2 linked regions of the Arabidopsis thaliana genome follow. The protein of the gene in region 1 purifies or fractionates together with the protein of each later gene. This does not show direct contact. Each region holds a gene or a part of one and is shown on either strand. Other genes may lie near its edges.

Region 1 (6,434 bases):
TCACCGGAGACTTCAAAAACGTCCCCGTATTTGACTGGCTCTCTTGGCCTCCTTGGTTGCTCTTGGCTCATCTTTGTTTTGTTACGTTAATGTTCTGTTACAAACTACGATAACTCCTACCTGAATTGAGTGTCTATTATATAAAGAGAGGTGCATGAGTATGGGATCAACGTTCTGAGATTTTGACACTTACTCGTAGATGAGGTGACTAGGACACTCGTGTCAGTTTGCGAGTTTGTAGCTAAAAAGATAAAGCTTAGATTGAGATAGGGATTTTACTTTTCTTTTTGTAAATTTGTCATTTAGTTTTAAGAGTGAATGAAAAAGGACATGTTTCCAACGTTACCACATATGAGTCGTATAACATTGGACACGTTTGTTTCAATATTTGTTTTTGTTCTTGTAGACACGTTTCAATTTTAAGACAAACATAACAGAAAAGTCAAATGTTGGAAACAAAGGTCACCAATATGTCGGAAGTCAAATAACAAATCTTTGTCGGTCTAACAAAACTCATAAACTTCCCCTAACTCTTCGGATCTCTCTAGATCCTTGTTTTTCGTTGCCTTAATTATCTTTCTCTTCTCTTATTTCATGTTAGAAAACAGAGTATACAACAGAAAACACAATCGTTTATTTTTGTTCTCTGTGTTCCCATACACAAAATCTTCCAGCTTCTGTTTCTCCGTTTTGTTCAACGGAGTTACAAAGCGGAAGAACCTTTGCCTTCGGCCTGAAAGACCAAAGATATGGGAACTGGTGGAATAACGTCCAACGCTCACGTGGTCTCTCCCACGTGGCATCACAAGCACGTGCCTCCTATGGATGACGACTCTGTTCTTCAAAGAGACATCGGAGAGCTTCTTTCACGGTGGGGCGGGCTTCAAATGGCCGTAAAGAACCAGTGGGGAGGCCATGATTCTCTCAAGAAATCTCAAGAGCTAGCTCACAATCTTTTTCATCTCATCTCTCAATCAAATGGTTCGATTTTCTTTTTACTTCTTTAGATTTTATGTTATGATCATGAATATATTGATAGTTTGATTCCAACATTATGATATGAGCAGTGATTACGGTGGAAGAAATAGAGAATTTGCTACATGAAAGCTTGCTTCTTTCTTTCAACACAGAGATTGAAGATGGCAGCATTGAAGAGGTACGTACTATTTCTTGAAAATGTAGACGATCAATTTACTTGTGAATTATGTCGACTAATCTTTCATCGTGTGATTTCGTCAGGTAGCTGAACAATTGATGATACTCCATGAAGAACATTTACGTGGGACTCTTTAAGCAGTAGCTTGAACGATTTATATCATTTTTGGTGTATAATTAGATCAATGTAAGATACAAAGAATTGAAAATTGGGTGGACAACAAAATATTATTCATCAGAAATCATAGAATATAGGAATACGTATCAAAATCTATGTTTATTTGATGTAATCATTTTGTAGTTGTGATGAACAGTTTTTCCTAATGTAATTTCAAATTAACCAGTAAGACACTCCATCATGATTAATGTGGGGAATATGGACCGAGTGACCGATACCACGTAGAAAATATATATCTAAATTTTCCAATATAATGCAACAAAATTCATATTGAAGCAAAAACTCCATGTAATTTGGATTCTTGACAATTTTATTATGGTCAAATCATGTGTGTAATATGCAAATAAAAACTAGAGAGATGGCAATAACATCATTAGTATGAACCACTAGGCTATAAATTGGTCAAAGTAGAAATGGTGCAAATGAAAGACTAATTTACGTGAGTGCGATTACGGTAAAATCGGTCATTAAAGACAAAAAGACTTACCGTACAACAAGTCATTTACATGAAAACCAAAAAAAAAAAAAAAAAACCCTCCAAAAAGGGATTGTCCAACATAAGGGCACAATAGTCAATTTCAAGCGATTCCTCGTTTATTCGTGTTTCATCTTGATCTCAGCTAGAGGAGGAACTAAACCACATCTACAGAGTCAGAAAATAAAAAGTAGAAGAAGCAGAAGCGAGAGTGCAAAAAGGTTAGATCTGCTTTCAAAATTGTTCGTACTGCTTCTTTACCACATAAAGTTCATAGCTTTTTACGTTTCTACCGATAATTTTGCATTCCGAATTCTCCATTTTCTCAATTTTGCTTAAATGGGTGTTTCTCTTCTGCAGGAAATTAGGTTTTGAGTGGTCATGTCTGCTCCTATCTATTCTCCGATAGATATGCAAGAGATTGTTCAAAATCCTCCTGGGTAATTCTTCTTTTCTGATAACTATGTTATAAATGTGAACAAAAACTTGTTTTGTCTCTGGTTTGTTTTGGTTATCCTGTGTCTGAATCTTTGCTTTGATTTCTTGAACAACTTAGACCTTTTGATGGGTTTATGTCCGGAAATGAGACCAAATTAGTGTTTAGCTGATATCTGTTCAAAATTCTGACCTAAGCACAAAAAGTTCTTGAGTTTAGATGAGAGAAGATTAAATTGTTTAGAGGAACATTTTTGTCTTTGGGAATTGTGTGAAACTTACGTTGAGCAAAAGTTAGGGTTCTTATTCTAATTGCTGCTACCATAAAGGATGTGTCTTTAGGGTTTGAAGTCTCCATATTTTGTTATTCATTATGCCTGAGTATGCTTGTTTCAACACTACGGTATAATGAAGTGTATAATACATTGTTTGTCTACATGTTTTAATGGTGCTACGGAGAAGGCAAATGATTTGTGTTTGTTGTTTGTTTTGTTTATCACACTTCTCTTTCATCTTCTCTAGTGTTGATTTGCATGCAGGTTTGATACGGAACCAGTCCCAATCAGTACTTACCGAGACAATGAACCTGTCCCGCTTTCAACTTACCGAGAAAATGATTCAGATCATCTCGACGCCACTCAGCAAGAGAACGATGACTTTTGGGAAAACGGTTTCAGTAGGGAAGAGGCCATTGAAGATCCAGAGCCTTCTCAGGCAAAGGAAAATGGAAAGAGAAGTGTAGACAACAGCGCTTTCACTCATGGGGAAACTGATCTCAATCAACTTCCTGCGATTCCTCCGGTTTCAACTGGTCAAGGTTTGCCGTATGCCCCTGTTGATTGGCCAAGCCCTGGTGATGTATGGACTTGGAGAGTTGGGAGGAGAGTGACTGCTATGGGGTATCATCAGGATAGGTTTCTTATTCTCCCTCAAAGGCTTCAGCAAAAGCATGTCCCAAAGTCTTTCGCAAGCAAACCCCAACTTGCTCGTTATCTCGAATCGGATTTCCCTGGCATGGATGCTGATGCATTCTTTGCTTCTTTTAGCTGGAAGGTTCCAGCTCTCTTCCAGCCTGCAAATAAAGGTGATTTTATAGCTTTCCAAGAGAGGTTAAGATTTTGCAGATGTTCATAGATGAACGTAATCAGTGATATCATTACTCTTTTGTAGTTGATGCTGCGTCTCTTTTTGAGGAGACACCGAAGGAAGTACAGACTGAGGTTGGCCAGAATGATGAGAATGCTCAGGATGGGAAAGGAAATTCTCGATACAGCCAAAGGAAGAGAAAGCCAATGCCGACGCCACAAACTTATGAACCTGTTGAAGCGAAACCAAAATCAACTCCCCGAGGTAGCAGCAACAAGAAGAAGAAAGGAGCCACAACTCCGGCTACTGGACCTCAATCCTCTACCAAACCAAAACCATCTCGACAATCAGGAAGACGTACCTCGATCCAGCAGCGCGGTGGTGCTGTGGACTTGAACTTCCTGAATGAGGAGGAGAGTGAACCTGCTACTGCACCAAAGACTAGTAACAAGAGAAAGAAGCGTGGAGTTAACTATGAGGAAGAAGATGTTTCTATTCCCCATATTTATGTCTCTCCTATGAATGGGGTCCTCGCTGTCTCACACTCGCCTATCGATGTTAACCCGGAAGAGTTTGATAGCTATCTGAACTCTCTTGATAACTTGATGCAGCAACCTCCAGAAGAGGTTGGGCGAGACTCGTCTGTTCTTGTTAGTGTAAGCTCTCCAATGAGAGAATACGAATGGGCTGAAGCCCGAATGAAGATCTCATCTCTCCTGGAGAAGGATTTTACTACTTTGTTCCTCTCCAAGGACGCAGCAGAGATAGCAGCATTAGCAACTAAACTAAGGAAAGATCCAAACCTTACTGCTGAAGAGATAGTTAGGTTGAAGCTGATGGAAGAGATTCCGACCTTCAGCGAAGTGTTCCAAGAGAACAAAGGGGTGATTGAAGAAGCAGATAGGTTCTTCTCTGCTCTGGAACTCAACAAAGCCAAGGTAGCATCGCTTAAATACGAATACAGCGACCTGAAGGAAAAACTAGGAAGTATCCAAATGGAAGTAGACACAAACTCTGAGACAATCCGTCAAATCGATGACCAAATCGCTCAACTTCAAGCCAGACGGTCTGAATTGAAGCGGTACATCGGGACCAAGGAGAAAGAGAGGGTTGATCTAAGCTATGGTCAAAAAATGGTAGCGAACTCAATCCCGAAAGTCGTACAGGAAGTTCAATCAGCTAATTTGAAGAAGCCTGAATGGGAATGCAAGAAAGACAATGCGCTTAAACGTGAAGCAGAGATCCTCTCTAAATTCACTCCTCTCAAAGGCTTCTTCCTCTAAATCTAGCCTCCTCATGTATCCCCGATAACCTTTAGCTAGTCTTGTTGTGTCATGTAGCTTTTTGGTTTATGTTGCAAGAGTCTTGAAACCTATTTTAGACTTGGCCTTTTGTCTATTTCATGTAATGTTGTACTATGGAAACTATCCGTTAGTTGATGAAAAGAATTAGACCTTTTTGTGCTTTCGTTATCTTGTTTGATACAACCTTAAACAACCCTTGTTGATCTTACAAAATAAGAGATCATCAAAGATTCAATCTTTTCTTTTATTGCCAACAACAAAAACAGAAGGCTACACAATATCAACGAAACGAAGAAGATTAGAGATTAGTCTTCTTCTCATGTTACATAGAGGACATTACTTTGATTCACTGAACAAGCACAAGCCTTCCACTACCAATACCTTGTCCAAAATCACCACCACCACCATCATCATCTTCTTCTTCAGCATTCTTAGGCACAGTAACAATCAAATCACCATCAACACAAGCAACAGTAACAAGCTCAGGCCTAGTTGATTCCGGTAACCTAAAACGCCACACGTCAAGCTCTAATTCGTCTAAAGACAAACCAAGAGAAGAAGACCCATTTGTCCTCACAACGATCTTGGTTATACCAGGATGAATCTCAACCATATAAGCCCTCATTTCTCCATCGCCGTTACAGAGACCTACCGTCTCCGCCACAAATCGAAAACAGTCGTGTCTCTCTTCCACTGCTACATCTGCTTCTGACCTCAATGGTAGCTCCAGAACACGGTTGAAGATATGTGGTAATCGTCGGAGATTCTTTCCGGGTTCTCGGGTCGGGTTATGATGATGATGATGGATCAATGTGTTGTTGATGTTTCTGGGAATTGGGTGCACTCTCATAGCTTCTGGGTTTGGTTTATCGATCGATTGGATCAAATTCAGTAACAAGAGATATGAGAAAAGTGATTGAATCTTTACGGGAATCAAAATCATAAAAAACACGAGAGAACCCTAAAACACAAATCAGCAAAATGTTAGATTTTTGTAATCAAAATCTGTATTTGGGATTGGATTTAAACGGATTAAAGAGATTAGAAAGTGAAAGAGGAAAGCTTTATTAGGAGGATTTGAAGCAATGGAAGAGACAAGAAAAGATTGCGTCTTTCCTTTTTTATGAATGGGTGCGAAGGCGGTAGCAAGAAGAAGGAGGATCGGAAATGAGATAAGGGCATTTGAAAATTTACCAAACTACCCCTCTTTTTAATTGTATTTTGTTACATCTTCAGTTTTAATTTCAAAGTTGGATTATGCGATTTATTTCGGGGAAAATGTCAAAAAAAGCGCGAACTTTCAAATTTGGGACGAAAAAAGCATGAACTTTCGAAATGTCATTTAATTCACAAAGTTTCGTTTGACTTTTTTAAAAAAATGTCAAGTTTCGTTGACTTGACCATTTTGGGCACGTCGTTAAATTTCCGTTAACAGCGTTAATTTTCTATTAAAAAATTCTGTTAAATCGAAACGACGTCGTTTTTAGATCTCCAAAACGACGTCGTTTCATTAGAAAATAATGATGCAAAATCTGCGTCCACAAAGACTCGAACATATGACCTACTGGACTCATATGGGGCAATATACCGCTGAGTTACGACAATAATTTACAATAATAACAAACATTGCATACATATACTAACAAATATAATATACTATTAATTAAAAATATATGCAATAAATTAAAAATAACAAAATTAAAAAAAAAACTAAAAATATTAAATAAACTTACCTTAATATATTTTAAATTTCAAATATTTAATTATATATATAAAGACATCTTCTATATTTGAAAAATTA
Region 2 (3,872 bases), on another chromosome or scaffold:
CTAGCAATTTCCACAGACTTAACTATATCACCATAATGAGCCAATTCCTTTCTTTCTGCTATGTGTAGTAGTATTAGAAGAACCCTAAAAATCTGAGTGTATTAGTGTTATTAGCAATAGGCTCATTTTGTTCCATAAGTTACAAAATTGCTTAACATGTGTGACGATTTTGCAGGTGTACTATACATTCAAACCAATATACATGCTAGCGGAACCATTCATGCTTGTATCGGCTTTCTTCTTAGTATTTGTGGCTTCGCTTGCGTATGTACACATCGATCTCAATATCGTCAGGAAGTAGAAGTCTTATCAACAGTCCTTCGCTTTCACTTATAGACTCGTAAAAGAAAATACTTTTGATCATCACTTGAAGAACTAAACTTTGTAGGTGTTGCTGCTTTTAGTAGAGTTATATCTTTGACACTACTTTGCTCTCCAATCTTGATTTTTCCTCAATTTTATTTACAGAGAATCTAAAGTGTTTAATCCATCCAACAAGTGAAGTGGAAAAGAGCGAATTGCCAAATTATGTAATGAGGAAAATGTTTCAAAGTAAATCAAGATAACACAATTACACAACGGTAATAACAACAAATGCATAATAAAGTTTACACTAAGACAACAAACGCTGATCCTAAACTTCCTTGCCTTAAAAAAAACTTGCCTTTAAAATTTTGTCTCCATAATTTTAACAATCATGACCGGAGTTTGAAAAGAGATCACTAAACCGGATTCTTCTTCGGCCTTCCTCTTCCTCTCTTCTTCGGTGTTCCATCTGAATTAACTCCAACACCATTATTACTCCTCACAGCCTCATTATCTCTCTTCGCCGCACCACCTGACCATCCATCAAAACTAACACCATTACCACTTGGAGGAGCTGCAACGCCGCCGGATGAGAAAACCGGAGGCATCCAATTAGGGAACTTAGCTGCATCTACTCCATTAGCAATGGCAGCTTCTCCTCCTTTACCACCAACAAACCCCATCGGAAAAAAACCCCAACAACAATAATACTCATCTTTACCAGGTATCAACGGAGGCAACTGAGGAATACTCGCAGCGTGAAACGCTCTTTGACAGTTTTGACATCTAATACAATACTCTTGATAAACCCTAGGATACTCATGAAGACTGTAACAGTACGGACACGCCGTCCAAAACGTAGACATCTTCTCATTCGTTGTTGTTTTCTTCTTCGATTTCTGAGTGTTGAGATTTACTTTAGTGAAGATGAGATTCAAATCTCCATCGAATTGAGATTTCTTCGTAGGTGTTGATAGAACTTCCCATGCATCAAGCACGAATCTGAAAGCTTGATCGGCGAAAGGGAAACGGTTTTTGTCAGGGTGGAGAAGAAGAGCAAGACGACGGTATTGTTTCTTGATTAGATCGTTGTCTGTTGATGATTCAGTTAGATCTTCGATCTGAAGGATTTTGTACCAGTTTGGTTGGTTTTTGATACGATTCTCTGGTGCTGATGAGAGTAAGACATCGACGACGGCGAGGATTTGATCGGTGCCTTCGAGGAGTGGCTCTGTCTCTTGAGCTAAGATTGCAAACTCTTTTGAACCGTTTAGATCTCGTGACTCGAGAAGCTTCTCCGCGATTCCGAGAAGACGTTCTGCTTCTGATCGGTTAGGGTTGTTGTCTCCCATCTTTCTTCTTCCGTCGGCGATGGCGGAGAAATGGTGAGCAGATCTAAATATTATCGCCTCGACAAGAGACGATGAAACAAGGCTCTGATTGGCTGTGTGTAAAAATGGTCGGGGGAAAAAAAATAGTAACATTGGAGTAAACGGAAACTAAAACTTTATTTGTTACCAAATTTATTTAGTAATAAAATCATTTCTTCATTTTTATGTTATTATTTTTCACAATTTTATTTTATGTTATTATTTTTCACCCTTTTATAATGTTACCTACTTACAATTCGTTTCCTATTTCGCCATATTTATAATATTGCAAATAAAATCCAGCTTTGTGTCACCAGTTACAAAAATAATATGATTATATACTTTATTGGTTTTATTAACACTACATTAAAAAGGTAAATAAAAGGAAAAATTACTATAGTATATTGGAAATAAAGTCGGTATTTGACTCACTAGAGAGTTATAATTTATAAATGAGACATAATTATTGTTTATTCATCTTATTCAGACAACATAACTAAAAAATATATGGTCAAGATAATATTAAATGTTTTAAGAATGAAAATTTTCTAGAGCTAAGAATATCGGAAATAAAGTTAGACGTATTATGTTTAACAGAAAAAGAGGCAGAATTATGGCAGTTAGCTCAATTTGAGCTCAATACCAAAAATAACGGTTCCATGGGATCGAAAAAACAAATTCGGGTTCAGAATATATCACACGATAATATTTATTCTGGTTTGCGTTGTTTTGTGGACGGATCTTGGAAAGGAAGCGATAAGTTTTCTGGATTAGGGTGGTTTTGCAGATCATCAAATGGAGACTCGCCAACCATGGGAGCTGCTAATCTTCGTAGAAGTCTTTATCCACTCCATACAGAAGTCGAAGCACTACTTTGGTCGATGAAGTGTATGATTGGTGCCGACAACCAAGAAGTAGCATTTTTTACAGACTATTCAGACTTGGTGAAGATGGTGTCTTCTCCAACCGAATGACCAGCGTTTTCAACTTATTTGGAGGAACTAAAGACCGATATAAGGAGGAATTCACAAAGTTTTCTTTATCTTTAATTTCTCGAACTGCAAATGTAAAGGCGGACAAATTGGCACGAAAAATTCATATTGAACCGCTTCATGTCACTTTTATAAATAATTTTCCTCACAATTGGCTCTTTTGAGCTCTAAATAAAATCTGTTGACAAAAAAAAAAAAAAAATCAGAAATAAAGTTCATCTATGACTACCTACCAAAACAAAAGTTCATCTTTGATTCACTCACAAAATAATACAAATAAAACATGAAAATTATAAAAACATTTAATATTATCTCTTACCATAATTTATTTATTTGTTGTACATAGTACAAATAAAATGGAAATAATAATTATTTTTTATTTGTAACGTTTGCCGGCCGAATAAAATATTAAATTTATTTGCAATACTACTCACAACAAACTTTACAAATAAAACATGATTATCGTTTTTTCTTTTCGTTCATTCAAACTATAAACAAAAGCAATGAAAGCATGATAAGAAATGATATTAAATGTTTAAAAAATAAAATTTGATATAACTATATTATTGGAAACAAAGTCCATATTTAAGTCACCTATAAAAAAGCATGATATGAAATAATAATAAATGTTTAAAATAATAATATAATATCTAATGGTATTTGAAATAATGTATGTGTTTGAAGATGTTATAAAAATGTTAAAAATAAAAATATAATTATCAATATTGATAATAATATTCATATTGATATGAAGAAATGATATTATTTCCAACTACAATTTATTTACTTTTCAATGTGATGTGAATAAATAAAGAATAATCATGTTTTAGCTAATGTTTCAAAATAGAAAAATTAATATAACCAAATACTGTAACCTAAAATTGTAAAAAATACCACTCTAGTAAATACCAATATTACCCCGGTTAGCTGCTACTAACATTAAGGGTGAAGTTGTCATTTGATACAGTGATCACGCACTTTTCACTTGTCTTCTTTATTAGTTTTTTTTCCTTGTTTTTTAAAGACATCACTTGTGACCAAAAAACAAATCCACTAAGAAAGAAAAACAAATTAATAAAAAAAAAAGATCAGAAATTAGTTTGTGCAGAAATCGAATTGGAGAAACCGAGTAACTATGGTAGCCACAGATGAGTTCATCGTTTTTGACCAGATCTGATTGTTTTCGTCTTTGCCGTTGAAATAA

Evidence for each region.
Region 2: the proteins of AT3G22520 (region 1) and AT2G01710 fractionate together in Arabidopsis thaliana (co-fractionation; one large-scale study listed by BioGRID). This does not show direct contact.

The regions. Positions count from the first base shown.
Region 1 is NC_003074.8:7,972,795-7,979,228, forward strand, and holds AT3G22520 (spindle assembly abnormal protein), read left to right. Parts: upstream 1-1,925; 5' UTR 1,926-2,029; intron 2,030-2,168; 5' UTR 2,169-2,189; coding exon 2,190-2,248; intron 2,249-2,782; coding exon 2,783-3,327; intron 3,328-3,413; coding exon 3,414-4,612; 3' UTR 4,613-4,979; coding exon of another isoform or gene 4,980-5,576; 3' UTR 5,577-5,854; downstream 5,855-6,434. Other genes in the region: ATECP31 (Seed maturation protein), read right to left, coding at 1-71; AT3G22510 (Pre-rRNA-processing protein TSR2, conserved region), read left to right, coding at 750-981, 1,068-1,156, 1,240-1,293; AT3G22530 (heat shock protein), read right to left, coding at 4,980-5,576.
Region 2 is NC_003071.7:313,622-317,493, reverse strand, and holds AT2G01710 (Chaperone DnaJ-domain superfamily protein), read right to left. Parts: upstream 1,847-3,872; 5' UTR 1,791-1,846; coding exon 723-1,790; 3' UTR 501-722; downstream 1-500. Other genes in the region: AT2G01720 (Ribophorin I), read left to right, coding at 176-301.